Linked DNA regions of Diceros bicornis minor. The protein of the gene in region 1 binds, or shares a complex with, the protein of each later gene. Links are inferred from orthologs where the notes say so. Each region holds a gene or a part of one and is shown in the gene's direction. Other genes may lie near its edges. The genes, in order: TIMM50, TIMM17A, TIMM21 and TIMM17B.

Region 1 (7,205 bases):
CCCCCTTCTCTCCTCGTCTCTGCAGGTACAACACAGACCAGTTCTCCCCCTATGCCGCCCCCTCCCCCCAAGGCTCCTACCAGCCCAGCCCCAGCCCCCAGAGCTACCACCAGGTGGCGCCAAGCCCAGCGGGCTACCAGAACACCCACTCTCCAGCCAGCTACCACCCCACGCCCTCGCCTATGGCCTATCAGGTACTGGTCAGCCTGCATGCCCCCGAGGGTGGTGGGGTAGGCTGGGCTGTGGGCCTAGAAGAAGAACCAGGCCAGATGACCTATTCCCAATGACACCTTCCCCCTTGCCCCTACAGGCCAGCCCCAGCCCGAGCCCTGTTGGCTACAGTCCGATGACACCCGGGGCCCCCTCCCCTGGGGGCTACAACCCGCACACACCCGGCTCAGGCATTGAGCAGAACTCCAGCGACTGGGTAACCACTGACATCCAGGTGAAGGTGCGGGACACCTACCTGGACACGCAGGTGGTGGGGCAGACAGGCGTCATCCGCAGTGTCACGGTAAGCGGGGCCCGGCCTGGTGGGTGGTCGGGCGTCCTCTCTTTTGGGGCCCCCAATCTGTGCTTGCTGGGTTTTTTTCTTCTAACTGTCTCACCACATCTTCCAGTACCCGTTTACAGCTGGAAAACCTGGAAAGGTTGGGCATGCAGGCTCCACAAGGTGGGATTCCTGCCTGTTGTGCTCACGGCTGCAGCCCCAGCAGCTTGGAGCAGTGACCAGCACCCAGGAGCGTGGTTCCTTTTGGACATACACCTCTGAGATCAGAAACATGAACTGGGTGCTCCCCTGTGCCGGGCTACAGCTTAGCACCGGCACCCACCCTGGGCTCTCCCTGCTCCAGCACTGCTGGCTTCTCCAGTCTTCATCGTCACTGAGTTCCCTCCAGCCGCAGGGCCTTTGCTCGTCACTTTCCTGTGTCTAGAGATCTCTTGCTTCCATTCTTTGTCTACTTCACTCCTCCTAATCCAGGGAAGCACCTAGGCTCTCTCAGGTCTGTCTCTTATGGGTCTGTGTGATGCTTTTTCTTGTTATCTACCTGCAGCCTAAAAGCTTAATGTTTACCCTGGTGTGATTCTTTGATTGCCAGGCCTATATTTCATTTCGAAGTAGCCCCAGTTCCTAGATGAGGGACTAGCACCTTGTTGGTCCTCTGGTAAATATTAATTAAATTAATTAAACAACCACCAGAAACCAAGACAGCTCTAGGCCCTGCCCTCACAGATCTCACATTCCAGTGGGAGAGACAGACATGTTGCAAGACAGCGACAGCCCGAGTGGCCAGAGCTGGGATGCGGGAAGCCCAGAGGGCAAGGGGAGCTCTGTGAACCTAGAGGAGGCACCTTACCCAACTTTGGAGGGGAGCAGGGAGGGCTTCCTGGAGAAGGAGACATCTGTGCCGAGACCCGAAGAATGAATTAGGAGTAAGCCAAGAGAAATGGCTGGGGAAGGGCTTAAGTGTGTTTCAGAAAGAGGAGTTGTGCAAAGGCCTGGAGGTGAGGGAAAGCCTGGGACATTTAGGGAGTGAAGTATGTTCATTGTGGCTAGAACATAAAGAGCCAGGAGGAAGGTGAGTGCTGAGGCCAAAGAAGTGGCCGGGCCAGGTCACATGCCAGCCTGGGGAACTCGGACCGTGTCCTGAAGGGACTGGGGGTCATAGAGGAATCTAAGCAGGGGAGTAGTGGATCAGATCTATGGTTTGGGATTCATTCATTATGTTGCCCTATCAAGGATGGATTATGGGTGCTGAGACTGGGGGCTGGGAGCCCAGGGGGAAGTCAGGCTGCATACAGGGCCATGGGGAAGAGAAGAGGGGGGAGGTAGGAGAGACCCTCACAAGGCTGAATGGACAGGCCTTGGAGCTGGAGTTTGTCGGTGAAGGAGTTGACCAAGACAAGGTCCAGAGCTCTGGCTGGGGCCTGGGGACCGTGGGGCCACCCCTGAGACGGAGGCCCAGGAGAAAGAGCAAGTGTGGGGAAGGAGCTGAGGCCAGTTTGGGACACAGAGCCCAGTGCCTGAGAAGCAGTCTCCCTTTTGGCCTAAATTGCTTCATTCGGGTGCTTTCTTTGCTTATCTGGTCATCCCGCCCCCACACACCACTGACTCCAGGCCTTGGAACCAGGCCTAGCCTTGCCTTTCCCGCCCCTGTGTCACCTTGGGAAGGTGACTTCTCCGGATGAGCCCTGAGCCCGTGTCCCCTGAGTTTGGACATGAGTCCTGTGTGGGGAGCAGGCCAGGCTCACCAGGTTGTCCTCACTCCCAGGGAGGCATGTGCTCCGTGTACCTGAAGGACAGCGAGAAGGTGGTGAGCATCTCCAGTGAGCACCTGGAGCCCATCACCCCCACCAAGAACAACAAGGTAAGGGGAGGCAGGGGGTGTGGGGGCACTGGGCTGCTGATGTGGACCCTGACCCCGTGCCCCCCACCAGGTGAAGGTGATCCTGGGCGAGGACCGGGAAGCCACAGGTGTCCTGCTGAGCATCGATGGCGAGGATGGCATCGTCCGCATGGACCTTGACGAGCAGCTCAAGATCCTCAACCTCCGCTTCCTGGGGAAGCTCCTGGAGGCCTGAGGCAGGCAGGTCACGTGGACTTGGGCAGACATCTGACAGATGGAGAGTGTCCCTCCTTCCTTCCCTGGCCTTTGGCTCTGACTCAGCATCTGGGGCCTGGCGTAGGGCTAGCCTGATTGTTCAGGATTTCTTTTATTTTCCTTTCTGGGTTCCTGTCTCCCTCCCTGATGTTCATGGGGATGAGAGTAGAGTCTGGGGAAGGGTCCCCACCTTGTACCCCCCCTTCCCCAGCTTGCTTTTGTGTTATAGTCTTTCAATAAAAAGCTGTTTGGTCAAAAGTCCTGTGTGTGTGTGGTCCAGTTTGTAAGTGAGGTCATTTGCAGACCCCACTCCCTTGCTTTGTGGTCTTGGGCAAATAACTGGGTCCTACCTAAGCCTCAGTTTCCCCGCTAGAAAATGATAGTGCCTCCCCCAGAGGGCTCTTGAGAGGAATGCATGAGAAGACTCGAGAAAGATTAGAACAGAGGCTGCCAGAGCCTGCATGTGATCGATGAAGTTACATCTTCCTCAGGCTTGAGTTAGTGAGGTGAAAATCACAGTCAGTGTCCCCCAGGGAGCCTAAGTTCCTCCTATGGAGCAGGATACAGCCTTTGATGATCCTTCCTCTTGAGGCCACACAGCAGTGACACCAGAATTGCTGTAGCTGGTCTGATGGCATGGGGGCTGGGAGCAGCCTACCCCCTGATCCTCCTTCACCTTCCTCTTTTGATATTTACATGTCTTTTTACAAAGGTAATGTAAAATGTGCTATAAAATATTTCAGATGCTCAGAAAGATATACCAGAACACCCGTGTCCCACCGCCCAGCTTAGGAAACGGTATGGACCAGACAGGACCCGCCTCCGCAGCTCCCCCAGTCCACTCCCCGCGGGGTCACCACAACCCTGAATTCCCGTGTCTCTTGCCCAACTTTGTACTTTTACTACGTTAGTATTTATCCTCAAGTGTTCTATGGTCGGTATACATGTTTTTAAAGTTTACATAAATAGTATCAGACTTTTCCTTCTCAAAATAGTTTGAGGGTCATCGTCATGGCTCCCGTAACCTCTAACTCATGGACCCCTCTCTCCATGACCCAACCCCGCCAGGCGCGGCGGCGGTTCCTTTGGCCCCATGAAGAGCTTGGCTTCCCAGACCCTTTATAGGAAACTTGCGGGAGGCCCGGGTACTGACAGACTCGGCCCCACGTGAGGAGAGGGGGGTGAGGCTGCCTTTCAGCCCGCCTCCCGGGCCGCCCCCTCGGGCGGGCCGAGCTACCTGACTCGCGGCTTTCGCTCTTGAGGACAAATCGAGCAGCCACTGGGATCCTTCCTTACGGCTTCCGCTTTCCCGCTGAGCACGTGGTAGCCGCCCGGTCCCGTAGCAGGAGCAGTGGAGCGCCCGGCGGTCGGAGGGGGCGTGGTGCCGGCTGACTCAGTTCCCGCGCCGGGGGCACCGGGAGGCGTGCGCGTCCGCGGCGGTCCGCCCGCAGCCCTTTGTCTCTCTCGGGCTCCCGTCCACCCGGCCCGCCCCTGCGCCCCCATTGGCCGCAGCCCCGGGGAGGGGAGCGAGTGGGCGGGGCCGCGTGGCGTCAGCGCAAGATGGCGGCCTCGGCGGCGCTGCTCCTGCGCTTGCGGAGCGGGCTCCGGCCCGGCGCGCGGGGGCTGTGCGCTAGGCTGGCGACGCCACCTCCCCGGGCTTCGGGCCAGGTGAGCGGGCCGGGGTGGCCCCCGGGTGCGGGGGCCCCTCTCTGGAGTTTCGAGCGGGCCGCTGCTGCCCGGGGGTTCTGGAACGCAGCACTTCAGCGTGCTGAATGGAACGCCGCCCGCGTTTTGGGGTGCTTTCCTGCCTCCGGGAGTAGGCAACGCTTGTCCTCCCTGGCTAGATGCTGGGGGCTCAGGTGCGTCCTCTGGACCTCACCTCCTCTGGACCCCACGTGGGCGCCTGGGTAGGAGGTCACCTGTTCCATCTCAGTGACCGCTCGGGTAATACTTGAAGGGGAGGGGCCCGGGACGCTGGGGTGCCAGCCTGGCTTTGGAGGTGTTTCCCCGCCTTAGTGGTGGTGAAGTAGAGGTTCGAGGTTCTGATTCGATCTGCCTCCATGTTGATAGAGATCCAGCCATTCTGACCTCCAGGGCCATCACTTCCTTGCTGTACTTCCCCAAGCCCCAGAGAAGCGATTGCCCCTCCGCCCCCGCTCCCATCCCTTCTCCTCTATCTTGCTACTGTGAGCCCCAGGCGTGCGGAGGCTTTAACCCCTCGTCCTGTCCCCTTATGTGGCCTCTGTTGCCTTGCTCCAGGCATCCCAGTGTCCAGCCAGTCTCCCGATCTCATCTCCCTGCCCTGCTTTTCCGGGCTCCAGGCCCTCCAATCCTTTGCCTCCAGGATCCTGGGCATCCGGCCTGTCAGCGCTCGAATCACTGGGATCCTGGCGCCGGACAGTCCAGTTCTTGACCCTTCTGAGAGACCCAGTCTCTTGGCTGCCCTTCCAGGGACACATCACCTGGAGGCCATATGGGTGTCCACTTCGTGGCTCTTGAGCTTGGTTCTTCAGCCAGGGTGCCCGAACCACTCTGACCTTCTCTCTCTCCTCTCTTGGCCAACCTACGTTCTCTCAATCACAGGCTGCAGAGATCGGGATCCGTGCGAGCACAAAGGCCCAGGCCCAGGGGCCACAGCAGCAGCGGGGCACGGAGGGTGCCAGCTATGCCAAAAAAGTTGCCCTCTGGCTTGCTGGGCTGCTCGGTGCTGGTGGAACCGTGAGCGTCGTCTATATCTTTGGTGAGGGACATATCCCTGTCCCCCAGTCTTGTTCTGTTGGCCCTTTTTTCTACTGCAGAATCTCTTTCTCTTTCCGCTCAGGGCTCACCCGTCTTCATTCCCTGGCTGCTCCCTCAACAGGGCAGCCAACTAGAACATCTACCTTGGAAGTGGGGAAGGTCTCCCTTTTACCCACTCTGTTCAAGGTTCTACTCTTTCTGGTGGTTCCTGCACTAGGCTATAGGGAGTCAGTGGGAAGAGAGGAAGACGGGGGAGGATAGGCCTGGACCGGCTTCCTAAGCTACTCTTCCTTCAGCACCCAAAACTGCAACCCTCCCCCTGGTCCCTTCATCCCTCAGAGACCCAGGAGACCCAGGGATCCTGGCTACCAGCCCCCTCCTCTCTTGATCTTAGTAGACCATGCCTCTAGCCCTCTTTCCTCAGACCCAGGAGTCCAGCCCCCTGCCCTCTTTTCTCCCTCAAGATCCAGGAGACCAGGCCCCAATGCCTCTCATTCATCCCTGTCTCCCTTGCAGGAAACAACTCTGTGGATGAAACTGGTGCCAAGGTGAGGGGGAAAGAGACCCAGAGGCCTTGCCAGGGGTCCCATCCTGTGGGTCCCCTCCCCTGTGGTCTGTGCAGGCTCATTTCTGGTCTGGGGTGAGCCTCTTCCTCCCAGGGACCTTTGCCTACTTTTCCCAAGGCTCTGGAGATTTCTTTTCTGGGTGTGATGGGATTCTTTCTCTGCCATCCCAAACCCTCCATTTTTCTCTCTACCTCCCAGATTCCCGATGAATTCGACAATGGTGAGTAAACAGCACAGATTCTGGGGTCCCCGACCCTCCCTACTCTGCCATTTGTAGGAGTGTTGCCCTCCCCATCTGGTACCCCTGGCTCCTCCTCCTGTTGTGGGGTGGGGGAGTCAGCAGCTGGATGGCTTTGGGGGGAGGGGCATTACAAAGCACCAGTCCCCTTCCCTGTCCCCTCAGCCCAGGAGCAGATGGTCAGGGGCAGATGGGGGAGGGGAATCCGGGGTGGGAGTGCTTGGGGATGCGGGGCTCTCTGTTGCCAGACACATGGCTTCCTGTGCCTTAGATCTGAGCATCTGCGGTCCCTAACCCCCTTCTCTTTATGACAGCCTCCTTTCTCCCCGCCAAGCCCCATACCCCATCCGGCTCCTCATGTCCAAAACAATGCCTCCTTCCTCCCTTCCCCTGCTGGGTAACCAGCTTTTGAGGAGTTTCTGACAAATTGGATAGTAGAGAGTAGTTGTCAGTTCTATCACACCTGGCCCTTTCCAGGAGAAAAATAAAATTAGTAAGTCCAGAAAGCCACCTGTTTGTGCTGGGGAAGTTTACAAACCAGCACGTTAATCCATTGATTGTTCTAAACAAGGCAGGTGGGTAAGTATGCTGTTTTAACTGGGCAGATGTAGAATCATACTGGTATAAACAAATCAGTATACTGATTTGAATTGGGCAGGTAAACATGCGGGTTTAAAATGTGTGTATTTATTAACTTAAGTGGTTTCCATATTTTGGTTTGGAAAAGACAGGCCCATAGATAGTAGTTTAACTGGACTAAAAATACTGTATTGAAGTAGGCAGTCATGTAAGATTCTTATTTTAAACTGGATTCAGGATATTCATTTAAAGCAGGATTTTTCAACTTTGGCCGTATTGATTCTTTGGATCAGATAGTTCTTTGTTGTTGGGGAGTGTCCTATGCATTGTAGGATGTTTAGCAGCATCCTGGCCCTCTACCCACTAGATGCCCATATTGTGACAATCAAAAATGTCTCCAGACATCGCCAAATTTCCCAGGAAAAGGGGGGGGCAAAATTGCTCCTAGTTGAGAACCACTGGTTTAAAGTATACATATGT
Region 2 (7,857 bases), on another chromosome or scaffold:
GCAGGTCTCTCACCCTATTCCTGCCCCCGCCCCACCTCAGGTCAGCCTCTTCTCTCTCACACTTGCCCAGAGGGGCTTTCTAGAACAGGCATCGTCTCCTGGGGTCCCTGAGTCTGGAGCCACCTCCACCAACCTCCAGTCCCCTAGTCAGCTCTCTTCCCAGGCTCCAAGGACTCTGCTTTCTCGTGCTTTCTCAGGCTTTTTGCCAAAAATGTTCACTTCTCCCGAAGAGGAGTCAGGACCTGAATGTAAAGACCCCCTTCAGCAACGGGTCAGCCCTGCATCTCTGGTTCCCACAGCCTTCTCTTCTGGGTCCAGGAGTCTCTGCTCTAGGAGCACACTCAAAAAACAAATCCACAGCTTCCAAACTTACAGGGCAGGACTTGTGGTCTCCTAACCAAACGTTTCTGCATGTAAGTCCCTGTGTCTGCTTTGACTCAGGTCCCACAATTCCAAACAGCTGGCTCTTGTGACGAGCCGGTCTGAAGCCTTCGGCTCCCTAGAGCCCCAGGGACTGCCCGCAGACTCTGAAATTCTTCCCCAGAGAGGCATCACAGCTGGGGCTGAAGGATTTGGCAACCCAGAGCCCAGAGCACAGCCTCCTCCAGCCCCTGCTGTGCGGGACCTCTGCCCCACCCACTCTGCAGGGGCAACCGTTCTCCAAGCTCAGAATCCACTTCCACCTGAAACAGATTCATCCTGAGTATCACGGGATTCTGGTGTGGCCTATTCCCCAGAGAAATGTTGTGTTAGAGGGATGGGCAGAGTAAGGAGGGAAAAGAGACCCCAGGCTCCAGCCAACATACGTGAGGTGGGGATATAGGGAACCAGGACCAACTTCACTAACGCTTAGGGTGGTTCTCAACTGGCTGAATGACCCCAGGAAGGTCACATCTTTAGGAATATAGGGTGGTGGTATGGCGTAGCAGATAAGGCCACCGGCTCTGGAGTCAAATGACATAGGCTCAAATCTGAGATGTGTGACCTTGGGTAAGTTATTTAACCTCTCTGAGTCTTAGGACATAGATGATGGGGATCATACCAGCACCTACCTAAAGAAAAAGGTACCTACTGCACAGGGCTACAGAGTTACCAAACATAGTGAATAAGAGAAGAAGACGATAATAAGACAGAGCATGTGAAGTGCATAACAGCATCAGACATGTTGTAAGGATCTATGTGTTACTACTCAATAAATAATCACACTGGTTCTCTTCTTCTGGGGAGGCTGGAAGTTTTTCCAGAGCAGCAGACTTGGCTCTGGAAGTGAGCCACTGGCTTGGCCCCGCACTGCTGGGATGGGCAGAAATGGGCAGAGGAGAGCTCTGAGACAGAGCACAGGCCAGACTAATGTCTCCCTGAAGGGACAGCAGGGGGAGGGAAAAGAGGGGAGAAAGAGACAAGAGATTGCCTCCCCCCCAACTCCCACCCTGGCCAGGCAACACCCTTCTGCCCACCAAGTAGGCCCAGTCACAGATGGAACCCCAAACCCAGGAGCTGGCTGTGAAACGAGCCTTACTGTCCATGCCCATCTGAGTTTCTTGGTGACCGGAACAGGTGGCACCAGGGGGCAAGGAGCCACATACGTGGCCTGTGACCTCCTGATGGATGGGCTCTTTAGGCCCCCAAGGCCTCTGGCTCAGTGGAGCTCAACCAAGCTAGCCTCTAAGGTGCTAAGCACTGCGTGTCAGGAGGGGCAGGCTCTGAGAACATCCAGCCCCTTCCTCCGTGGGTCGGGTCTGGGAAGAAAGGAGGATTCCAGGTTCTTGTGCTCATCTGTGGTTCACTCACTTGCACACTCCCCACAGAAGCTATTTAAAGCCTGCTCTTCACCCTATGACCTCACTGTCTACTGAAAAGACTGTCTCCTTCTAGAATGAACTCCCTCAGCTACTGGAAAAAAGTAGATAAGACTTTAATATATCTTTATTATCCTGGAAGGAAAACAAATATACTCCAGGGAGGGACGGGAGCCATTTCTCCTTTACTGTCCTGTAATGTAAATAAAGCTGCCCCAGAGGAAGTCACCATGTGAAAGACGTCAGCTCCTAACGCTGATGTGTAGAAACATGACAGGTCTCGGAGGACATCTCCTAGCACACAGCTTACTCCTTCAGCCTTGCTTCTGACACTCTCCACTTCCACTGCCCTAGAACTTCATCACTTGACACAGCCTCATTCTCTCTGCTTCTAGTCTTTTCTACTCTCCCAGTGGGGTCAGCAACCCATCCAGTGACAGCACCACGTCACCCTTGCCTTCATGCCTTCAGTGCTGTCGCCCCCTCTACCATGAATGCCTTACTCTCTCCTCTCCACCTTCCAACATCCCGCCATTCTTCAGGCCACAGCTTAACTGCCGGCTGATCACTAAAGTTTTGCGAGCACATTCTAGCTCCCAAGGTTCTCTCCTCTCTGACCGCCTCCTGTATTCATCATGTCTTATGGCACACATGTTGACATTTTAGAATTTTGACCCAACAATTATTTCTCAAGATCACATTCTTTCTCCCCAAGTACATTTTGAAGACCCTGAGGGTAGAAACCATGTAACTATTCTTTGTATTTTTTCCACTTCAATCTTAAAACTAAGGACAATCCTGAGCACACAGTAAGGGTCTTCTCATGGACTTGGGGTTCTGAATCCCTCCAGTTACTCTCTCCGTCCAGCATCACCTGTGCACCCTTAACATCTATCAGATGTCCATCTTTCTCCAATCCTAGCCTCTATCAGTGGCCCCTCCCCCAAGAAAACAGGAACTAGTCTACCTGTCCAAGAGTGGAAGATGAATGAAAGCTAATTGTGGGGCGGGGGATGGCAAGGGTGGGAAATTACTGTAGGGTGGGGAAAAAGGCACCAGAGTAACTGCCAGACTCAGCACCTCATGAGCTCATCCACCCTGGGGTTCCCAAGGCACCAGGGCATCTCTTCCTGCCTTCACCGGCTTGGCTGGGGAAATCACACAACAGGCCCTGGGAGCCACAGCTCTTTCCGTTCACACTGGACCTATTTTCCCCAAAGCAATCCCCAGAGGACCTGGCTCACAGGGGTTTCAGCAGCAGCCCCTCACACTGGGCCCAGAACACTGACTTTCACCAAAACAGACCCCAGTGTGTGGGACTACCAGCTCACACTCCCCTTCCTTTATGCTAAGTTTTCCCTCAAGGACCCCTACGCCTTTCTTCTATCATTCCTTCATATCATTGACCTTCCTTCAGGGAGGGCCATGCAGTTCCTCAGGCTCCTTTAAGACTCACTAGGAAGAGATTAGAGTACCAAACTCTTTTCTTCCAAGATGGAAATGGATATTTTTGAGGCAAGGGTGACATCTTCCTCCTCTAGCCAACAAAGGCCTAAGTCCTAGGCCTTGCCTAGCCAAAAATGTCCTGTTACACCCTGTCCTCTGTTGCTGTCACAAGAGAGCAGAGGGAGAGAAGTCTAAGAAAGCTCGCTGGCGCCCTGAGCAGTGCCTCCCGGAACAGTAAGCTCCTTTAGGACAGGAACTGTGGAAAGAAGTGAGCTGGCTGAGCACAGCCTAGAGCTGGCCTCCAGCTTTGTAAGCTCAGAATTATCACCATTCCTAGTGATCGATTTGATTCAAAAGAACCGAGCTCACAAGAGGCAAATGCATAAACCAATATAACTACCAAGTGGACAAGGACAATTACGAGCACAGGCCAGGGTGTTTTCTCCTAAAGGAAAATCTATTCAGAAACCAATAACAACCAGAAGATTGCATAATGAATATGGAATAAGGGCAAAGGGAGGTGGCTAGAGCTATGGGATATTTCTCTGAATCCTGGTGAGAACAGAAAGAAATATCCTCGCCCCATGAGAATGCAATCCTCCAGTTACTGAAATGTTTATACCACTAGATCTGGAGTGCGGACTAAACATCAAATTCTTGCTCTGCGTTTGTTTCTCTTTCTGGGTTCCATGTTGCCCATCTCCTACATTCTCTCCTCAGCCTGTACAATTAATTAGATTGAAGCGTTCCTAATTACAGTCACACATTCCAAAAAGGACTCCTCGAGCTTACATATCCAAATCAGACGACTAGTTTGAACTGTTCTTCTCACACACAAGATACATTTCACTGACAATCTTCAGTTCTACCAAGGGTTCAGTTATCTGCTCACCTTATTTCCAAGATTTTGGAGGGAACCTCTCTCTTCCCTGCAGCTTCCTATTATTTATTACACTAACTTTTCCATAAAATAAATACAAACATACTTTAAAGTCAATCTCAAAAGTGCACAATGGAGAAGAGCTCCTTTAACAGCCGTCACATGACAGGTTTGCTTGACTGTAGGCTAAAATGGGCCAGTGGGTCCCCATCATTTTGGTCTCCTCTTCTCTGGGCTAAACACCCCTCACATCTTCTGCTGATCGTTGGAGGGAGCCCCGGAGAGGCCGTGTTCTCGCTCTTCCCAAATCGGCAGGGCACTCCAGACAGCCCTGGTGGTTCCTGGTCACAAACATTTAGTGACCATCTACTACATTCCAAGCCCTGCGACTATGAAGGAGGAGGACACTGTTTGCCCTAAGCAGCTACATGTGGGAGCTTCACAAATCATGAACTGTCCTCACGAAGCCGGGCGAGCCCTAGAGGAACGCGACCACATGTATATCAACGCAGACCCTGCCCCCGTGGGCTCGCACGCCCGGCTCACACAGCCAGACCCATCCCCTGCGAGGACCTGGGCGGGGCCTATCCGCCCCGTGGCCCCGCCCCCTGCCCGCCGGAGTCCGGCTCCCATTGGCTGCGGGAGGCAGCGAGCAGCCAATCCCCGTAGATGTCAACGCCCGCCTCTCGGGATCACTTCCGCCGTGACCAGCACACGGTCGCCCGGTTTTCCCGGCACCCCTCGCGCCGCCGGAGCCAAGATGGAGGAGTACGCGCGGGAGCCGTGGTGAGTCTGCCCTGGGCCTATCCGCTCCACCCCTGCCCACGGTCCCGCGCTGCCCTGTCCGTCCCCGAGGGGCAGGCCCGGCTCCGCCGCAGGTTTCTCCGCCCCAGGCCGCGTGAGGCCGCCCCGCCACCAGCGCTGGTGACCTTGCGGGGGGCGGGGCGTTGAGGAGGTCCAGGGCTGGGTTGGAGGGACCGCGGGCCTGCCCCCCACCCGGGGCCCAGCGACCTGCTGCGGGGTCAGCGCTCGTCCCCTCTGCCCGCCGAGTGATCTTGGGCGCTCCCTGCGCCTCCCGCCCTGTTCTGGTTGAGCAGGGGAGCTGGGTTTCCGAGGGGCGCCCCTCTCGAGGCGTCGTTTATATGGTCAGATGTGTCCGCAGGGCCGAGCATCCTAGATCGCAGGAACGTAGATTTACCCAAATGGCCTAGGTGAGCGCCTGTAGGCAGGAGCCTCTTTTCGGTGCTTGGAATTCTCCCTGGGGGAGGGGGCTGGGCAAACATTATCGGGAAAATAGAGTAGCATGTGTCCTCCGGAAAGCTAGGAACAGAAATTCGTACATTCAGCATCTATGGAGGGAGGGCTCTGTCCTCAGCGCTTGGTTAGGTTCAAGGGATAGAAGCATGAATACATCAGGCACATAAAATAGTTATAAAACGGTGTGATTGCTATCAGAAGTCTCAGGTTGCCTGAGTTTAAGGCTTCTGGGGTCATAAGTGAAAAACCAAATCTTGTTATTTGGGTTAATCGTCTGTTTTATTGTGTAAGAGCAGGATCCAAGGTGTTCTCAAGTCGTGAAAGGGCCCAGGACATTTTATTATTACCTTCCCGACAGTAGCTGTGCTGCCTGCTTTGTGACTTTCTTTCCCTCTCAAACGGGATACAGGGTCTATGTTTCAGCGCCTTCTGGCTCTTTAAAATTACCTCTTCCCAAGGGGGTACTTCTCCCCCTTCCTGGGTTGTGCTCAGATGCGTGAGACTCCGCACGTTGTACACTGCTGTTATCAGCTGCTGTTGAATGTGGTCTAATGAATGACACAGGTTGTCAGGAGGGCGAGTTATTTAACTTTGTTGAGTTAAAGATGTTCTAAGAATCATGTTTTTACCTGCTAATTCATTAGGTAGCCCCTTTGCTTTCTCTTAGTATGTATGTCCTGAAGCAATAGTCAGTTGTCCTGTTAGTTTTGTAGTCCACTGCCTTGGTCTTCTGGACTGCCCTGTTTGGTAAGAGCATTTTCTCAAGTCATCCAAGCTCAGACTACAGGCATCTTTTTCCTTCTTCCGCACCCCCCTCCCCCAGTATGCATCTGAATTCTTTCAAAACTTCTACTGTTCAGATCCTGTTGTCAGGCATCCTTTATGCCTTTTACAGTAGCTTCCTTAATTGCTTTCCGTACCTCCAGCCCCATTTAATACATCATATGGACTTATCCTAAATACTCTTTTTACAGTATGTTTTCTTTTCAAACACCCTTAGTCTATCTATGGTACAGTGGAAGGAATTTGGGGGCTTTGGAGTACTAGGTTTTGTATTTAAATTGGTCCTACTAGTTATCACCTCTATGACCTTGATCAAGTTATTTAATCTGTGTCTGAGCTTCTGTTCATCTGTGAGATGGTGAGGAGACAGACATACTCTTTTTTTTGTAAAGTTAAAAGATTAGGGATTCTATAGGAAAATAACCTAGCTTTCTTGAAAATCATGTTTTATTTGCGTTGTAATGCACTTAGAACATAGTTGATACTTGATAAACGATAACTTTTAACCGTGTTACTGATTCTCTGTTGCCTGTATTTCTCTGGCACTCGCATTCTTTTAGAGTCTGGATTCAACCTTCCTTTTATGTAGCCCATCACTTCCCTGCTGGAACGTTTTGATTTAGCTAGACTTTGCTCAGAAGCTATTTCCATCTTGCCTTAGTTTTGGACATCCTCTCTTGGGATACTCTGGCTGCTCTCTAATCTGAATCCTGCTGTTCTTTACTGATTTTTTTTAATGCTCATTAATTTCAGCTCCAACTAATTATAAGATCAGTTAGGCTAGATCTTTTAATGTTACCCACCACTCAGAGGGAGCCACTAATTCATTCTCCTTTGTCCTTCCTCTTTACTTCCTATTAATGTTTCTATAATTTTAAAGAAATTTTCCTAATCCTTTTTAATCTCAAAGCACTGCTTCTCAAACTCTTAAAGTAAAACCAAGTCACCCGTGGATTGTGTTCAACAGCAGACTCTGATTCAGTAGGTCCTGGGTGGGGCCCAAGAGCCTGCATTTCTAACAAGCTCCCAGGTGTTGCTGATTTTGCTTTTAGGACCGTAGAAGCAAGCCCTGGGTAGCAAGGCCCCAAAGCATCTTGCTGACAACTGGAATATGTGCTACATGAGACAGTCATTCTGTACCAAGTCCTGATTTGTATTATATTTGAAAAGGGTATGGTGTTTTGACTCCTAGGTTTTGTGTTTCTGTTTGGCAAAGTCAGAATTACTCATTATATCAGATTCTCCAGCAGCAACAGTATGCTGAGTTCACACGTTTCCTTGAGCATGGATTGCCCATGGATTCATTATGGCATTTGACCTTCGAGACTAGATAAAAGAAATTTCTTTTGTTTATAGTGGGTTGAAAATGAAGTTAACTATTCAGAGTTTTTTATAAGCCAGATTCCTAGAATAGTGGTTCTGTTTTACTGATCGGATTACTCAGATTTCAGTGTATTGTGTAAGTTAGGGTGCTACATTTGGAAGCTGGGTTTACAAATTTAACTTCTAATTATTGGATAGTAGAGTATTCCAATGTGTTAAATGGATCTGATACAAACAAGTTCCGAATGCTAGCTGGGACGCAGTAAACCTGGGAAGAATTTCAGACTTCTTAAAAATTTTAAAAACTTGTTTTCCTCTGCACCTATTGAATCTTCATTCTTCGGGTCTCAGCTTTAAATTTTACGGCTG
Region 3 (8,043 bases), on another chromosome or scaffold:
CATTTTAAAATGATTTAAAAGCATTCCTTATTTTAAGTGGTTAACTGTTCTTGTAAATTCTATACTGACCTCTATTACATATTCAAAGAAAAAATATCTTCAGTTAACAAAGGTTTCTAATGCTTAAGCTTTAAGTAAAAGGAATTTGTGTTACTCCTCCACCAAATAATAATAATATCTACTCAGAGTTCTCAACTAGTGACCCTTAGACCTCTGCAAAGGTTCATGACAAGAAGTCTGGGAGTCCATACACACACTTTGAAAACTGAGAAATGTCTTTCAATAATAGATACTATTGCTTTTTTAACTTAAATGAATACTGCTGTGGTTAACCAAATATAGATTTGTTTAAAAAAGCATTAGTAAACTCATAAGAGCTTTTTGTCATTACATATTTCCTCAATCAAAAGATGCCCCAAAAATAAAAACTATTACCCTAGGCCTTTCCAAGGGAACTGAAGATAAGTAAATTAATATGATGTATCAATCAGTTTCAATCTAGCAAATTGGCAAAGACCAAATAAACGATAAGGACAGGTGCTGGCTATGCTGCAACAGGCTTCTCATTCACTCAGCTAGCAGCATAAATTGGTGCCAACGGTATGGAAAGCCAACTGGTAGTGTATATCAAGATCTTTAAGAGACATATTTTTTTTAAGCCAGGAATTTCACTTCTAGAAATATATCCCAAGGCAAGAAAGTGAGCACAAAGACCTCACTCAAGAACATCCAACTCAAAGGCGTCTGCACTGCAAAAGATACTAGAAACGGTATACAGTTTGGTTCAACTGCATGGCCTCCATACAGTTAACAATGTTCAGCCAATTAAAATGGACAGTTTCAACACAGGCGAAAGCGTCTGAGAGAGAAATAAGTTCACGATGTCTTCCAGATGTCTGCATGGCTTGCTCCCTTACCTCCTTCAGGTATTCACGCAAACGTCACCCTCTCACTGAGAACTTCTTTGGCTATGCACTCTAAAACTCCAATCCACACTCTACACACACACACTTTATGCCCCTTCCCTATTTTTTTTCCTTAGCACATATCACCATCCAACACTACGCATTTCACTTATCTACCTTCTTACCTATCTTTGGGACACGAGATCCATATTGGCAGGTCTTTTGCGTGAGTTTTGGTCACTGCTGATTCTTCAGCATCCACAAAATGCCTGGTGTGCAGAAAGCATTCAATAAATAGCTGCTAAATTAATAACATAACTGAAAAAGCAGGTTATATCAGTATATGCTACATAATCTTATTTTTGTATTTCTCTCTTAAGAGAAAAAGTAAGCACATACATACAAAGAAAAGAGGTCCAGAAGCAAGTCAACAAGGTATTAACTGATAATACACCTGATTCACAGGATTACAAGGTTACAAGGTTTTTTTGTTGGTGGTTGTTTTTACATGAGGGCTAAAAGATCGAAGGGACAGAACAAATATTTTCTAATATTTCTTAATATATTGAATATGTAATAAATTGTGGGGGTTTTCTGTTTTAATTTCAAAACTCAGAATCCCATACACAAGGTTTGGAATCACAGTTTCATAGCACAATCCTTTAGGCTCAAGCTGTGGTCCTCAAAGACATTCGCAGCATTCTGGGGCACCAGGTCCCTCAAAATCTGGGGCACAGTCTACAGAAAGCTCTAAACTTCTTTGAAGTCTCTTATTTGATCTTAAAAAATTAATGCAGATGTTGCATTCCACTGGATAACTTATCTGTGTTTGTCTTATTATAAAAATGTATTATATTACTTACCAGTTAAATTATTTAACGTTTTTCCCCAAAGGCATTGCATTAATTTTACATGTCGGGGAGGATGCCCCATGCATCCCCTGCCCACTGGCACCTATCCATTTGAGAAGTGCAGCCTATTTGTTGTTGTTTTGTTTTCCCATAATGAAAACAGATCTCATGAGTGCCTCATTTCATAGATCAGAAGGCTAAGGCTCTAATGAGGCAATTACAGTGACTTGTTTAAGGTCTCAAGCTAGAGACTGAGAGTCCCAGAGACCTTCATCTCCTGACACTCCTTCAAAAGCTCTTTCTACCGTATTATTATATTATGTATCTTATCAGTATAGCTTTTGGTACAATTGAAAACAAATCTCCATTTCTCCATAAAATAAACACACTGCATGTTTTTAAGGGTCACACAATTCACAAATAGGTAAGTTACATGCATGTCCTCATGTAGATCTGTATGTCTACACAGTTAAGTGTACATTTAGCTGACATGATTAGTAAGATGACATTCAGTTTAAACACACTTTTTAGCTTTGAATAAGTTCAATATTTTAAAAATCTACTCTCTGGGCCTGATTTTTAATATCTGGCAAATCAAAGAAATTAGACCAAGTAGAAATTAAGCCAACTTGATATGCCTTCTGCTATATTTCTTACAGTTTACGATATTTCTACATATTCACATTATGTGTTAAAAAGGGAACCACTGATTCCTTATTAAAATCTAGTGTTTCTGAATTGAGAATTAAAAATAACCACCTACTTAGACATAATCAATCTTTCTTAGCAACTGACTTTTCTTTACCAAAAAGAATGTATGCATCACCAAATCAGAGGATGACGTGCAGGCTCCCATGCCAGGCACACAATGATAGGCACTCTAATTACATCATTTCACCAGGAAGTTCTCTCAACTTATAAAGTAATAAAAGACTCATCATAAAAATCATTCTGCTTCCCACTAACAGAGCACTAAAGGCTAATTTTAGTAATAGTGGCAAATTGACTTAAAGTTCAAGCTTCCTATTTAAATTCCAGTCTTTCTCAGCTACATAATAGAAATTTTGCAGGCACTGTCACCATTTTACTTGTCACAAGGCTTGTGGTATATCTAGCATTACAGCTATTCTCAAGAACCAACCATTATCATAACAGGAAGGGTCAGGGCCCTGCTTCTGAAACCAGAGTAAGTGGAGTAAATGACCCTTGGATGAACACCGGACATAGTTCTGGAGTTTCAGGAAAACAAAAAATAATTTAAGTAGTTGAAGTGGTACGTAACATACTCCTTTTTCATGCTTAAACATTTAGTTTATTAGAAGGGATAATATGCACGACTTTTTCTATCTATAAACCAAGAAGACTTATAAGCAAAAGGAAAATCCTCGAGAATGCAAACTGTCCTTAGCATTACTCCTCCACCTAGTAAACTAACTGGAATCATAGGTACAGAACTAGCAACAACCCACGAGAAAACGAGAGGGATTTAATAAGGAACCATAGCACGTTGATCCTTCTGATGAACTACATCTTTCACTTTGGGAAATGAGCCATTCCCCTTTGAGGTAAGCTGAAGATCCTTTTGGAAAGCAGCTGCATCCTCCTGCTCCTGGCCCCTTCCCCATCTCACTCCTCAAAGTTGCCTTCTCTCGCTGCAGAAGAGGACTACCCTTCAGTTCCAGGGCGCCCCAAGAGAAACAGAGGAGAGACGTCTCTACACACCAGAACAAGATCACCACACGCCCTGGCACTTAAGACAGGAAGATGTGCAGAACAGGAGTAAGAGTTGAGCACCAAGGGGCAGCTATCTAGAAGGCATCCCTCCAGGGTTTGCTTAAACACATAGACTTCTCCTTGACGTCGGAGATGCAGAAACTGCTGCCACAGGAGACGCTCCCAGACCAACCTGCCTTCTAGAGGTATCAGCTTAGGGCTGGTGTGTCCTCCCTTCACGCTTCGTGGGCGGGAGAGAAAATCGATAAGGTTTTGACGAGCTGATTCTACTTCTCTAACTTATAATAAAGTCACAAAAAGGACGAAAGGTGATTCCTGGTCCCAGAGCAGGGAAGCAACTTCGGGGGCGCGCTCTGGAGGGCTGCCCGCTCGGCGCCCGCAGGCGGAGAGCGGTGACCGTCCCTGCCTTCACAGGTGGCGCGCATTCACCCGCGGGTGCCCGGGGGCGCCGCCCCAGGGTCAGGGGCTTAGCACGTTCCCAGCGCCCCACAGCGCCTGTTCACTGAGCCAACGGAGGAGAAGGAGGATTTCCTGGGGACGCCACTCCTTGTATCATGAGTCGGGGTAACCCCACGTGCCAGGCTGAAGAGACCTTTCCCGCACTAAAGAGAGCCGCGCTCCGCGCCGGAGCGGGACGAACGAAAATAAAGGGAAAGGGGCGGGGGAGGAGGGCGGACTGAACGGGTCCCTCGCGGGGATCCCTGGGCGCGACCCCCCAACCATCACCCGAACCTGGCGCGTCCGGGGGCCCAGCCCACGGCGCCGAGCTGCAGACCCGACGCCTGGAGGCCGCTCCAGTGCAGCTGCAAGAGCCTGCCGCGTCCGGTCGCCATGGAGACCTGGCGGCGACGCCCCGGAAGCGCAACGGCAGGAGGGAGGAGCGCGCCGGGCCGCGCCACGCCCAATCGACGCTGGCGCGCTCCGAGACGCGCGTGCGCAGAAGCGAAGCGGAGCCGGGGTGAGGGGCCGAAGATGACACGGCTTTCTACCGCTTCAAGAGCGGTTCTAGAAACTTCTGGGGGCAGGCTTCCTCCCAAGTTCGACGCCGCGCGGCAAGTAGGCCGCCCGCAGTTTAAGACACCGCGTGGGTATTGTGGCGTCCTCCTCCTTCCCCACTTGCCGGCTCTCTGGTAGTTCACACTCCCTGTCTGGTTTCGTGGGGAAGAAACTGAAATGCAAAGGCTACCTCGTTTGCCACTAAGGAACGTCAAAGCCACAATGAGACCGAAAATTTCCCAGTTTACACAGTCCTCTCTAGAGGGTCAAAAGAACACGCAGTTTGTAGTTGCTAATTTGATTTTTGCAAGTTCTTGAACTACCACCGCCTATGCCACATATCCCCCACGAACGCGGCTCCGCCTTCCTACCGCGCCACGTACGGGCAGCGCATGCGCAAGGGGCCCGCGCAGGGGAGGTTGGGAGAGGCCTAAAGGCCCAGCGAGGGCTCGGCACCTCTCCCGAGGTGCGCTGTGGGAGATGTAGTCCTTATGCCTTCCCCGCTGCGGCCACTCAGTGAGGAGTGAGATCCTCGAACTGCTATTCCCAGTACTACGAGGGGTTTCCCAGGTTACTTTGCAAAGGCATGGCGGGGAGAGCGTGAATGTCGGCGTAGAGGGTAATCAGAGCAATATAATTCAAGTAAAGAGAGGCCCGAGGGGAAGGGAAGGTGGACGTCAGCCTCTTTCGGGAGACTTTTCGTGTTAATATACGCTGCTGGAGCTCACATTTGTCGAACACGCCCTGCAGAATTTCCAGTGTGAATGTGTAGACTTGAGTACGCGTCTGCCGGGTGTGTAGCGGACAGTGAAGCTTTTCGTAGTTAGCATCTTCCCTGAGCGGAGCGGTTTTCTGTGAACATGATTTGTACTTTTCTACGAGCTGTACAGTTTACGGAGAAGCTGCACAGGTCCTCGGGGAAGCGATTGTTGTTGCCACACTTGGTGCTTAACAAAGCATGTTTGAAGACTGAGCCGGGTTTGAGGTGGGGGCTGCAAGAGCGGACGAAAACGGTGCGACCTAGCTGTATTCTTGGAGTCACCCAGAAAACTATCTGGACGCAGGGACAGAGCCCCCAGAGAGCAAAGGAGGACAGCAGCAAACAAGTGTCTGTGCACAGAAGTCAGAGAGGGGAACCCGCCATCTCAACGTCACAGAAAGGTAAAAAGGAGTTCTCCAGTAATGATCAGTCTTTCAACAAACGTGACAAGAGCTGCCAGTGCCCCTTTACACAAGTTCAGTGCTAAAGATGGAGAAACAGTTCACACAAAGTAAACGGTAAAACCGTTAAACAGTTTCGAATCAGAGATATAGGCCTACAATTTTCTTCACAGAATTCAAATTTGAAAGTTGATTTCAATATAACTTTGTTGAATTATGGCTAGAAAATTTTTCTCAAATTGTATTAGTTCTGGTATGGAGAGAGCTATATGAAACTTAACCGTTGTTTAATACTTTGTAATAGACAAGTCGATTTCCCAGATGTTATTTCGTCTTCTTTGAATCTCGCATTCACTCTTTCAGACACATGAGCGCTGTCCCTTTTATGTAGGAGGCACACTGCCTCACTTTCACACAACTGAAAATTAAAGGCAAATTTTCCTATCTCAGCTTTCTAACATCCAGGCCAGTGCTCTTGAGGTCAGCCATTCACGAGTATTTCTTGAGCTTCCATTTTCCCTATCCTTAGCACTGGAAGGGATGTTAATGGGTATGCCTAAGAATCCTATACTCAGTTAGCTTACCACTAAATTAAGAAGAAAGTAGATACAGAGTGAAACAAACAGTGAGAAAAGATTAATTGTGCTGCAAAGAAAGTACTAGGGAGCATAAGATAAAGAGTAATTGGATAGAATAAATAGGAAAGAAAGATTATTGAGTCATAATCCATAGAAATTAACTCATGTAGTTTAACTCAATAAACACGTCTCTTGAGTGACTGCTGTTGTGTCCAGATACTGAGTTAGAGTTTCTATATTATAAAGATGTTCAAAACATCACTTACCTTCCTATGAAATGTACAGTAATAGAAGGAACATATAAAATAGGAAAGGTGAAATGTAGTGCTGTCAGGTAAAGTCAGATAAGTTCTTACGGATAAGGTAAGTCATTTTAAATTTAACTTATTAATTCTTCATTTTACAAGTAATTTGTAGAAAAAATAAAAAGGAAGCAAAAAAAGTAACTCAGACATCCATGATTATACCACACAAAGATGACTGTTGTTAATATTTTGGTTTATGTCATTTCAGTGCATGTACTTTTTTAATGGTTTTAACAAAAAAATTTAACTGTATCCTACCAGTTGTTTTGCAGTCTGCTGAATATGTCAAAAATATACTCATTGATTCGTAATACTCTGAGCAGGGTTGTGAGGGGTGATTAAAAGTTCAGCACAGATGAACAGCCTGTATGCAGAGGTCGCAGGCACAGAAGTGTCAGACAGCATGTGTCAGGTCATCTGCTCCAGCAACAGCACTGCTTACACTGCACTTGGGGCCTGCTGCAGAGCCCTGCCCTGATCTGGACCCCATAAAAGGTGACAGCTTTCCTGGTGACTTAGTGAAGGGGTGGGAACAGTATCCCCCAATGTGGAATATGCTGCCCCGAGAGTCCAAAGAGGCCCATCACACATCGTGGTAGGACATAGAGGATGCAATAGTTTGTCTTTTACTTGGGGTGGGTGTCCCAGCATGCCCCATACAGCATATCCCTAAGAGTTTTGCTGATGTGGTTGGCAAGCCGTGGATCTTTGTTGGCCTCATCCCCTGCACTTGAAGCACATACGTCTTACCAAGTGTCCCAACATAGAACATACCTGTCACTTGTTACTTTTGCCTCTGACTAACACGATGGCATAAATAGAGTGGACAAATGTGATAAATGTGATGTTTTGCAGAATGTCCAGAACAGCATTGTCTAAGTAAAACTTTCTGCAGTGTTGGAAATGTTATATATGTGCTGTCCCTATAAGGTCCTGTGGCTACTGAGCACTAGAAATGTTGCTAGTGTGACTGAGGAACTGAGTTTTTATTTAAAGTTCACTTAAAGTTAATTTTAAAATTAAGGTCAAATAGCCATGTGTGGTGTGTAGCTACTGTATTGGACAGCTCAGATCCAGAAGGTCTGGGTCCATTAAAACTATGTTATGTCAGGGCAAACAAATCCTGGGCAAGACCCTACATATACACAGTTATTGTCAGTTTTATGTCACTACAAACTGCTCCTGCTGCTCCCTCTCGACAGAGAAGGAAAAGAATACATTCTCCAGATCAATGGTCAGTACCATGAGGCTTTGTTAGTGTGCTCTGTAAAGTTATCATATCTGGCATTGCATCTGTAGTGGGGCTGCTACTTGGTGGAATTTGCAGTGGACCACTATCATCCTCCAGTTTCTGTCTGGTTTTTGTAAGGGGCAGACTGGTGTAGTACATGGGAGTATGATGGGGACCACCACCCCTCTGTCTTTAGGTCTTTAAGAATAGCGCTATTCTGCCATTCCCCCTTCAACGTGATACTGTTTTTGATTTACTGTCTGAGTCAGTGGGGGGCAATTT
Region 4 (7,469 bases), on another chromosome or scaffold:
TGCAAATAAAATGTTTTGCATCTTGCCGGCTTGGGTTGGGAAGCCTCGAAAGTGCGAGAGAAGGAAGCACTCAGGCCTCATGGGCATGATCCACTGAAAAGCTTTTATTAAAAACCCTGGGGCAGTGTGGATGGGGTTCAGTCCTGCTGCTTGGTTCGGGAGGCCTCGGCATTGGCCCTGAGCACAGCTCCTGGGGACGGGTAGGGACGCTGCTGGAAGAGGGGCCCAGCTGCTGTTGTATCTGCACCCGTCTTGGCCTCGTTCCGCTTGGGGAGTCCTGTTGACCACGTGCCCCTGGAGGTGACAGAGGATTGGGGGTGGGAATGTGGGATGTGGTAGGCACCCCCCACAACACTGACGAACAGGGAAAGGACATAGTGAGGAAGAAAGGAATGGTCACTGGTACCATGAGTCACGAGCAAAGAGAAGTGCTCATGAGGCGTTGTCACTTACCGGGGCGCATCTGAGTACGAGCTGGGGTCCATGGGGTCTAACTCTTCATCCTTCCGGCTTGCCACTGTGGAAGTAGGTGGCAGAGTGAGGTCTTCAGTGGAGGCACAAGGAGCCTCTCATCAGTGAGTTTCCCCATCCCAGGAAGAAATGGAGCCCGCGGCTGCCACGGCCCACAGCACCTTCTCCCAGGCCCCAGGTTCAGGCACTCGCATGAAGGGAAGTGAGGGCTTCCTTACATTGTGCATCCCTGGCGCCCCACTTGCCTCACTGCAGTCCTGGCCCTGTCAGCTTACCCTTCTTGCTCTTGGGGTAGGGAGCCAGCTCCTCTCGGCGATGGTGGCGCCGTTCTTTGCCCTCTTCTCGGTCTGCCTTGTCATACCCACGGTCCCGGTCCCGATCCCTGTCCCGTTCTCTCTCTCTGTCCACCTTGTCATAGCCACGCTCTCGGTCTCTGTCAGACTTCTCATGGCCCCGGTCTGACTTCTCGTGGCCCCGGTCTGACTTCTCGTGGCCCCGGTCTGACTTCTCGTGACCGCGGTCTGATTTCTCATGGCTCCGGTCTAACTTCTCCTCAGCATCTGGGGACAGGAAAGCTTTGAAGTGACCTTCCTTCTCCCATCTCAGGATCCAGCAGCCTCTGTGTTTGACCACCTCCCTTGCCTGGGGCTGGGCCTGCCTATCGCACCTGATGCTCCTGGATTCACTATCATTTACCTGATCCCTCTCTGAGAACTACTAGAAGCCCTTGAGGCACCCTTGGATCTGCCAACTCACCTGCATTACTGCTCCTGAGCTTCTTGGCAGATTTGGTAACGACCGAGTTGGGGTCATGTGGGGAGAGCCAGGACACGAGGTCTGTGTCCACATTCCAGTAGTAAGGGAGCCCGCTGTGGGGCAGTGGGAGGGAGGGAGGGATAGAGAAGGAATGTCAGCACAGATGTTACCTCCTTGTAGCCTCAACTCTTGTCTCCCCAGTCTCCGCCTCTACCTGGCCCATGTCAGGACCCCGTGGGGAGGACCCCCAGATCTCTTAACCCGAGGTCAGGGACAGCACAGGAAGGATGAAGTCAGAAGTCAGTTCCCTCCCCCCTGGCCAGGTCCCCAGGCTCACCAGGAAGGGTCGAACACCTTGTACCAGCTTGGTGGCAGGCCCTCCAACCGGGTGGCCTCATAGTCCACAGGGTCATCGTCATAGTCCTCGGCAATGATCTCTTCCTCTGGTTCTGGCATGGCGGGGGGAGGAGGAGAGCAGTGAGGAGCAGGGGGATTCTCATCCTACAGTTAGAGCCTGGAGAGACACTAGCATTCACACAGACCACGTGTGTGTGCCAGGTCTCACCGGCCCTGGCAGATACTGCTCACATTCCAAAGCCACTTATCTGGATATCGGGATTTACCAAAAACTGTACTTAAATCTGTTCTGTTTCTGGGTTCACATAAGATATGTTACCCAAAGCTATTACCCAAAGCTATCTGGTTTCAGAGTTTAGATAGGGATTCACCAACAAATGTATCCATATTTATTCAGTTCCTGAGTTCAGGTAGTATGTGACACCACACTATCCAAATCTGTTTGGATCAAATGAGTTTGAACAGCAAGGGGTTTATCTGAAAATATGTCCAAATCTATTCAGCTCCCAAACTTGGCAAATATGGGGTTTCTGACGCCTGTATATTGAGTAGCAAGAGTTTGGATACCAAGGGATTTATCCAAACACTGCTCTGAATCTATTCAGTTCCTGACACATAGTAAGCATGCAGCAGTTGTCAGTTCATATCAGTAAAATTAAAAGGGTGTATATTGTCAGCCCAGTAGCTGACCTTCAGTAGGCCTATCACAGATTTCAGCTGCAGAAATAACTAACAATGAAATGCACAGGCATACCTCAGAGAGACTGCAGGTCTGGTTCCAGATCACCGCAAGAAAGTGAATATTGCGATAAAGTGAGTCACACGGATTTTTTGGTTTCCCACTGCTCCTAAGAGTTATGTTTACACTATACTGTAGTCTATTAAGTGTGCAATAGCATTATGTCTAAAAAACAATGTATATACCTTAATTAAAAGTACTTATTGCTAAAAAATGCTAACCATTCTTCAGCCTTCAGCGAGTCGTAATCTTTTTGCTGGTGGAGGGTCTTGTAAAAAACACAGTATCTGCGAAGCACAATAAAATGAAGTATGCCTGTATATGTCAGCAACAGCATAGTGCCTGTCACACAGTAGGCCCAAAATAGATATCAGCTATAATCATCAGTATTTTTAATAAGATATATATACTCTCAGCACAGGGCCTAGTACTCAATAGGCTTAAAATAAATATCAATGATCATTATCAGTATTATTAACCACAAGATCTATGCCTGGCACACAGTAGGCTTATAATAGATGTCACTTATCAATACGGTGAAAATAAGATGTATTTTCCAGTGCCCGGCATACTATAGCTCAAAATAGATGCCAGCTTTTACTATTATTGACAAGGTATAAATATTAGCAGCAGCAGCACAGTAGGCCTAAATGATAGATCCTATCGTTATTTTATACTGTTAACCATAATGTGTATGCCAGGCACTTAGTAGACCCAAAATACATGTCAGCTATTAATGTGAACAATAAGGTATGTATCACCAGCATAGTGCCTGACACCATGGGAGGTCTGAAATAATGTTATGAGTATGGTAAAGAACAAAGTATTAGCATCCTGCCACTGTACTTGGCGCACGCACAGGAGACTGCAAATGTCAGCTATCTTCACTATTAGATACTTTGTAACCACTTCCATAGATTGATTGATGGATTGAACCTGGCATACAGTAGGCCCAAAATAGTCATCAGCTGTCAGTATTAAGGATGAAATATCTATCTCCCCCATGCCTGGCACATGGTAGGAATGGGTGTCAGGAATCCCCATTTTTAACAGTGAAATGCCTGCCACCCCACTGCCTGGTGCACAGTAGGCCCATGCTAGTTATCAAGTGGCAGTCTCAACAACAAAGTGCCTCTCAAGCCTGGCACATGGTAGGCCCATCTGCTCTTAGCTCTCACCGGGCTCCAGATGTTTGAGGATGCCTCTCTTGGCCAAGCGGGTCTGCAGCGCAACGGGTAGCGGCATAGCGGGTAGCAGACAGACCTAGGGACAGATGGACAGACTAAAAACCAGCTCAGATGAGGACTCAAATCTGGAGCCCGTAACCAAACGCCTCCCCCGAGCATGTACTCATCTGGACCCCCACCTACCCACCTGCAACAGTAGCTGGGTGGACGGAACCTAAGCGGGAGAAGGCGGAAGAGATAGATGGCAATATCACCAAAACTCTCACCAACCCTCCCCTCCAGGCCGGGTGCTCCATGACCGGGTTCCTATCCCAGGCCCAGGCTCCACCCATAGCTGAAGGGGCCAGCACAGCTCCCCCGCGCCCCAGAAATGGGTTCACCCAACGTCCCCCAAAGACTGCCGGGTAGGAGGAACCAAAGCGCTGAGAAGGGGGAGGAGAATGCAGTACTTCCTCCCGCTCCAAAAAATGCGCCCACTCCGACGTTACCAATACAGTCACGCGGGTAGTGGAAGGCTGTCAGACCGGCCGCCTCTCTCTTGTCGCCCCTTGATCACCAGGACCCCACAACTCTCTTCTCCCAAAGCACAGAACGAGGTCCTCTCTCCCCGAGGCTTGGAGTAACTGGATGACGCTCAGGCTGCGGTGAACAGACGACGCAAGCCGGGGTGACCAATGAGAGCGCGCCCTTGGCCTGACGTATGGCCAAGCGACCCAATCGTCGCCCTGGAAGAGTTGGACAGCTCGGGCGCCTGTGTGCGTTTACAGTGGGGGCGTGGCCCGGCCGGGGTTTAGCCAGACTGCGCGGCAGGACGCCGGCGCCATGGAGGAGTACGCTCGGGAGCCTTGGTACGGCGATGGGCACAGGCATCGGGACTGTTGCTGTGGTGCCACGGCCAGCTGTGGGAGGCGGGCGGGGGAGGCACCGGCCACACAGCGCCACATCCCAGACTCGGGAGACGTTTAAAATCTGTCTCCTTTGCTCCCCTCCACTTGATTCCTCCCACTCGGGCTCCGTTAAGAGGGGCCCCAACTGTATACCTGGAAGTGAAGGACGAGCCACCCCACGTTTCCCCTGACTACGTATCTCCCAGCCCCTCTTTGTTAACGAAAAGACACGCTGGTCGAATCCATTCCAGCTGGGGGGTGGTGTGTTGAGCGGAAATCCCCAGGGTTACCACGCGTGGTTTTTCCCAGGTCGCTGTAGTTAATGGGGGCGGGGCCTGGATGAGCCTATTCTGGGCAAGGAGGGGGTGCTGGATCCTCCCCACGGTCGGCTCTCGGTTTTTCCCATTCGCGCGCGGTTAAAAAAGGGGGAAAGGGCGGGGCTTGATTGGATGGGCTCGTTGTCGGAGAAGGGGCTGTGACCCTGTACTGCTTTAATAATAATACTAGCTAGTCAACACTTCTATAGCGCTTGTTTAAACGTGCCAACTCTTTGCTTGTATCAATTCATTTAATCTTTGATAGTAGTAAAGCTGATTCCTTGGTTGACTGCGAAGGGGAGGGTAGGACTGGGCAAAGACTAATATTTTTCCCGTTTTGCACTATTTCTTGCTTAAATGAGGGGAAAAATAATCTCATTATCTGAAGTGCTACTTCCCTTTCAGGTGACTTGGTTTCTTCCAGTTAGAAAGTCCATGTGACATGGCATGGGGGAGGGCACACATTAACCCCATCTCCCCTTCCCGCTTGCAGCCCATGGCGAATTGTGGATGATTGCGGTGGAGCCTTCACTATGGGTGTCATCGGCGGCGGAGTCTTCCAGGCCATCAAGGGCTTCCGCAACGCCCCTGTCGTGAGTCCTGGCCTTCCCTGGGTGGTGCCAGGATCCTGCCCTGTCCGCTTGGGATACTGCTCTGAAAAGTGCTTGGAGCTGCCAGTCACATGCACTTATTCATTCTGGTTCCTGATCGCCTGCTATGTGCCAGGCTTGGCTCCAGGATGAGGGGTTTTGGGAGAACTGCAAACATGGCCTCTGTCCCTCACCCCGCACCCAATTGGAGCTCCTCTGTGGAAATTTTGTGCTGTCAAAATGGTCATCGCTAAATCCTAAATGTGTGTGCAAAGATTTTACCTAGAGGCAGATTCTGGGTCAGAAACCTGGATAGAGGGAAGTGACAGGAGATTAATTGGCAGAAGGAGGGCAGCCTTAAAGTTGAGAAAATGCTTTTAATTTAACATAATCAATTCTGTCTCTTTCTCTGATACCCTTCCTCCTGGGAGATCTCATCAAATGTCATGGCTTTAAATGCCATCCATTTGCCAGGGTCTCTGCAACTGATACATCTAGCCCTGTCCCTCCCCTCATCTCCTGGAACTCTCTTTCCTGGATCTTTGCCTGAGTTTCTCCCTCTCATCCTCAAGGTCTCGGCACAAATGCCCCCTCCTTAAAGAGGTCTTTCCTGACCCCTCAGCCACTACCATACCTCTTCATTCTATTTCTTCTAGGGTGCATAGTGCTGTCTGAAGCTATTGTTTATCTGTACCCTTGCCCAAGATCTGTCTCTGCCACTATGATGTGAGCTCTGAGACGGCAGGGGCCAGGTCTGCCTTATTCACTGCTGTATCCCTGTGGACAGCATGGTGCCTGGCACATAGGAGCTGAGTAATCATTGAATGAATGAATGAGAGCTTCCCAACCCAGCTCTGAGAACACCTATGGTGAGGTGCTCCCCAGTCCCCTTGTTCTTGGCCTCTTCTCCATGTCTCTACCCTTGATACCCCTAACAGGTCTCCCACCCCCTTCCCTCTGTTAAAAGCTAGAAACCTTGTCTGCCAGTCGCTTTAACCCTGCCCTGACTCCCCTCCTCCTCACTTTCTCCCAGGGAGTTCGGCACCGATTGAGAGGTAGTGTCAACGCTGTGAGGATCCGAGCCCCCCAGATTGGAGGTGAGAGGCTTGGGGAGACATAGGAGATGTGATGGCAAAGTTGGGGGTGGTTCCTCCTTTGGGTCTAGACTGCAAGTTGGGGGTCCATATTCTAGCCTCAACTCTGCCTAGGACTTCCTGGGGGAGTGATGTTTCCCAACAATTTAATATGAGTGAGTTCTGGGGTTTAAATCCAGGCCCTGGCTCTTCCTTGCTGTGTGACCTTGGGCTAGTGGCTTAACTTCACTGAACCTCATCTGGAACACGGGGATGATGATAATAACTACCTCAGTCGTTTTGTAATGTATGTAATTTACATGGTACTTACTAAGTGCCGGTTGTTCTGCTGAGCACTTTAATAATATTAACTAATTTGAAATTTCAGAAGTCAAATAGCATGCAGTGCCTAGATCAGGCCCTGGCACACAATAAGGCCTCAGTAAACATTTTAGCTATCATATTGTTAACGGGCTTTCCTAACCTCTTCCTTCTCCATGAAACCAAGATCAGAATTTCAACTCTTTGTGGTAGTTGTGAAGATCAGAGTTGCTTTGTTCAAAGCCATATAGAAGATAGACCTCTTTTGAACACTTGTAACTCGCTCTGAAGGGGAAGGGAGTGTTGATGGCGATTATAGACAGCTTGAAGAAGGAGCTCCCACAGGGACAGATGGGGACTATCCCCACCTCCTTTGCTCTCTGCCTTTGTGTCTGGGTTTTGCTCCCCATTCTTTGCCAGAGCACTCAGGCCTTGGAAGTCCCCAGACCCTGAGCCGTGGATTCTCAGGATTCCCCAGGAACACTAATTAGGCCTTGGTCCCCCTGCAGGTAGCTTCGCGGTGTGGGGGGGCCTGTTCTCCACCATCGACTGCGGCCTAGTACGGCTGCGGGGCAAGGAAGATCCCTGGAACTCCATCACCAGTGGAGCATTGACCGGGGCTGTGCTGGCTGCCCGCAGTAAGTGCCCCAGTCCCTGGCCCCAGCCCCTTCCACCCTGTTCTGCCTGCCCTCACCTCTCTCTCCCTGCCTTCTCTCTCCTCCAGGTGGCCCATTGGCCATGGTGGGCTCGGCCATGATGGGGGGCATTCTC

What was found.
Region 2: TIMM50 (region 1) and TIMM17A share a complex: the UniProt entries of both Homo sapiens proteins name them as parts of the TIM23 complex. The link is inferred for Diceros bicornis minor from reciprocal best matches to the Homo sapiens genes TIMM50 and TIMM17A.
Region 3: TIMM50 (region 1) and TIMM21 share a complex: the UniProt entries of both Homo sapiens proteins name them as parts of the TIM23 complex. The link is inferred for Diceros bicornis minor from reciprocal best matches to the Homo sapiens genes TIMM50 and TIMM21.
Region 4: TIMM50 (region 1) and TIMM17B share a complex: the UniProt entries of both Homo sapiens proteins name them as parts of the TIM23 complex. The link is inferred for Diceros bicornis minor from reciprocal best matches to the Homo sapiens genes TIMM50 and TIMM17B.

What each region holds. Positions count from the first base shown.
Region 1 is NC_080773.1:13,471,251-13,478,455, forward strand, and holds the start of TIMM50 (mitochondrial import inner membrane translocase subunit TIM50), read left to right. Parts: upstream 1-4,131; 5' UTR 4,132-4,163; coding exon 4,164-4,271; intron 4,272-4,432; exon of another isoform or gene 4,433-4,447; coding exon of another isoform or gene 4,448-4,462; intron 4,463-5,186; coding exon 5,187-5,343; intron 5,344-5,858; coding exon 5,859-5,890; intron 5,891-6,106; coding exon 6,107-6,128; intron 6,129-7,205. Other genes in the region: SUPT5H (transcription elongation factor SPT5), read left to right, coding at 26-194, 311-514, 2,274-2,369, 2,440-2,583. UniProt on the Homo sapiens protein: Essential component of the TIM23 complex, a complex that mediates the translocation of transit peptide-containing proteins across the mitochondrial inner membrane. Has some phosphatase activity in vitro; however such activity may not be relevant in vivo.
Region 2 is NC_080777.1:30,122,730-30,130,586, forward strand, and holds the start of TIMM17A (mitochondrial import inner membrane translocase subunit Tim17-A), read left to right. Parts: upstream 1-4,832; 5' UTR 4,833-4,885; coding exon 4,886-4,911; intron 4,912-7,857. UniProt on the Homo sapiens protein: Essential component of the TIM23 complex, a complex that mediates the translocation of transit peptide-containing proteins across the mitochondrial inner membrane.
Region 3 is NC_080755.1:62,882,410-62,890,452, forward strand, and holds the start of TIMM21 (mitochondrial import inner membrane translocase subunit Tim21), read left to right. Parts: upstream 1-5,036; 5' UTR 5,037-5,346; coding exon 5,347-5,647; intron 5,648-8,043. Other genes in the region: FBXO15 (F-box only protein 15), read right to left, coding at 1,091-1,174, 4,223-4,323. UniProt on the Homo sapiens protein: Participates in the translocation of transit peptide-containing proteins across the mitochondrial inner membrane.
Region 4 is NC_080781.1:42,158,016-42,165,484, reverse strand, and holds the start of TIMM17B (mitochondrial import inner membrane translocase subunit Tim17-B), read left to right. Parts: upstream 1-4,265; 5' UTR 4,266-4,332; coding exon 4,333-4,358; intron 4,359-5,207; coding exon 5,208-5,307; intron 5,308-6,337; coding exon 6,338-6,401; intron 6,402-7,207; coding exon 7,208-7,336; intron 7,337-7,422; coding exon 7,423-7,469. Other genes in the region: PQBP1 (polyglutamine-binding protein 1), read right to left, coding at 138-294, 454-517, 747-1,031, 1,228-1,340, 1,565-1,676, 3,502-3,568. UniProt on the Homo sapiens protein: Essential component of the TIM23 complex, a complex that mediates the translocation of transit peptide-containing proteins across the mitochondrial inner membrane.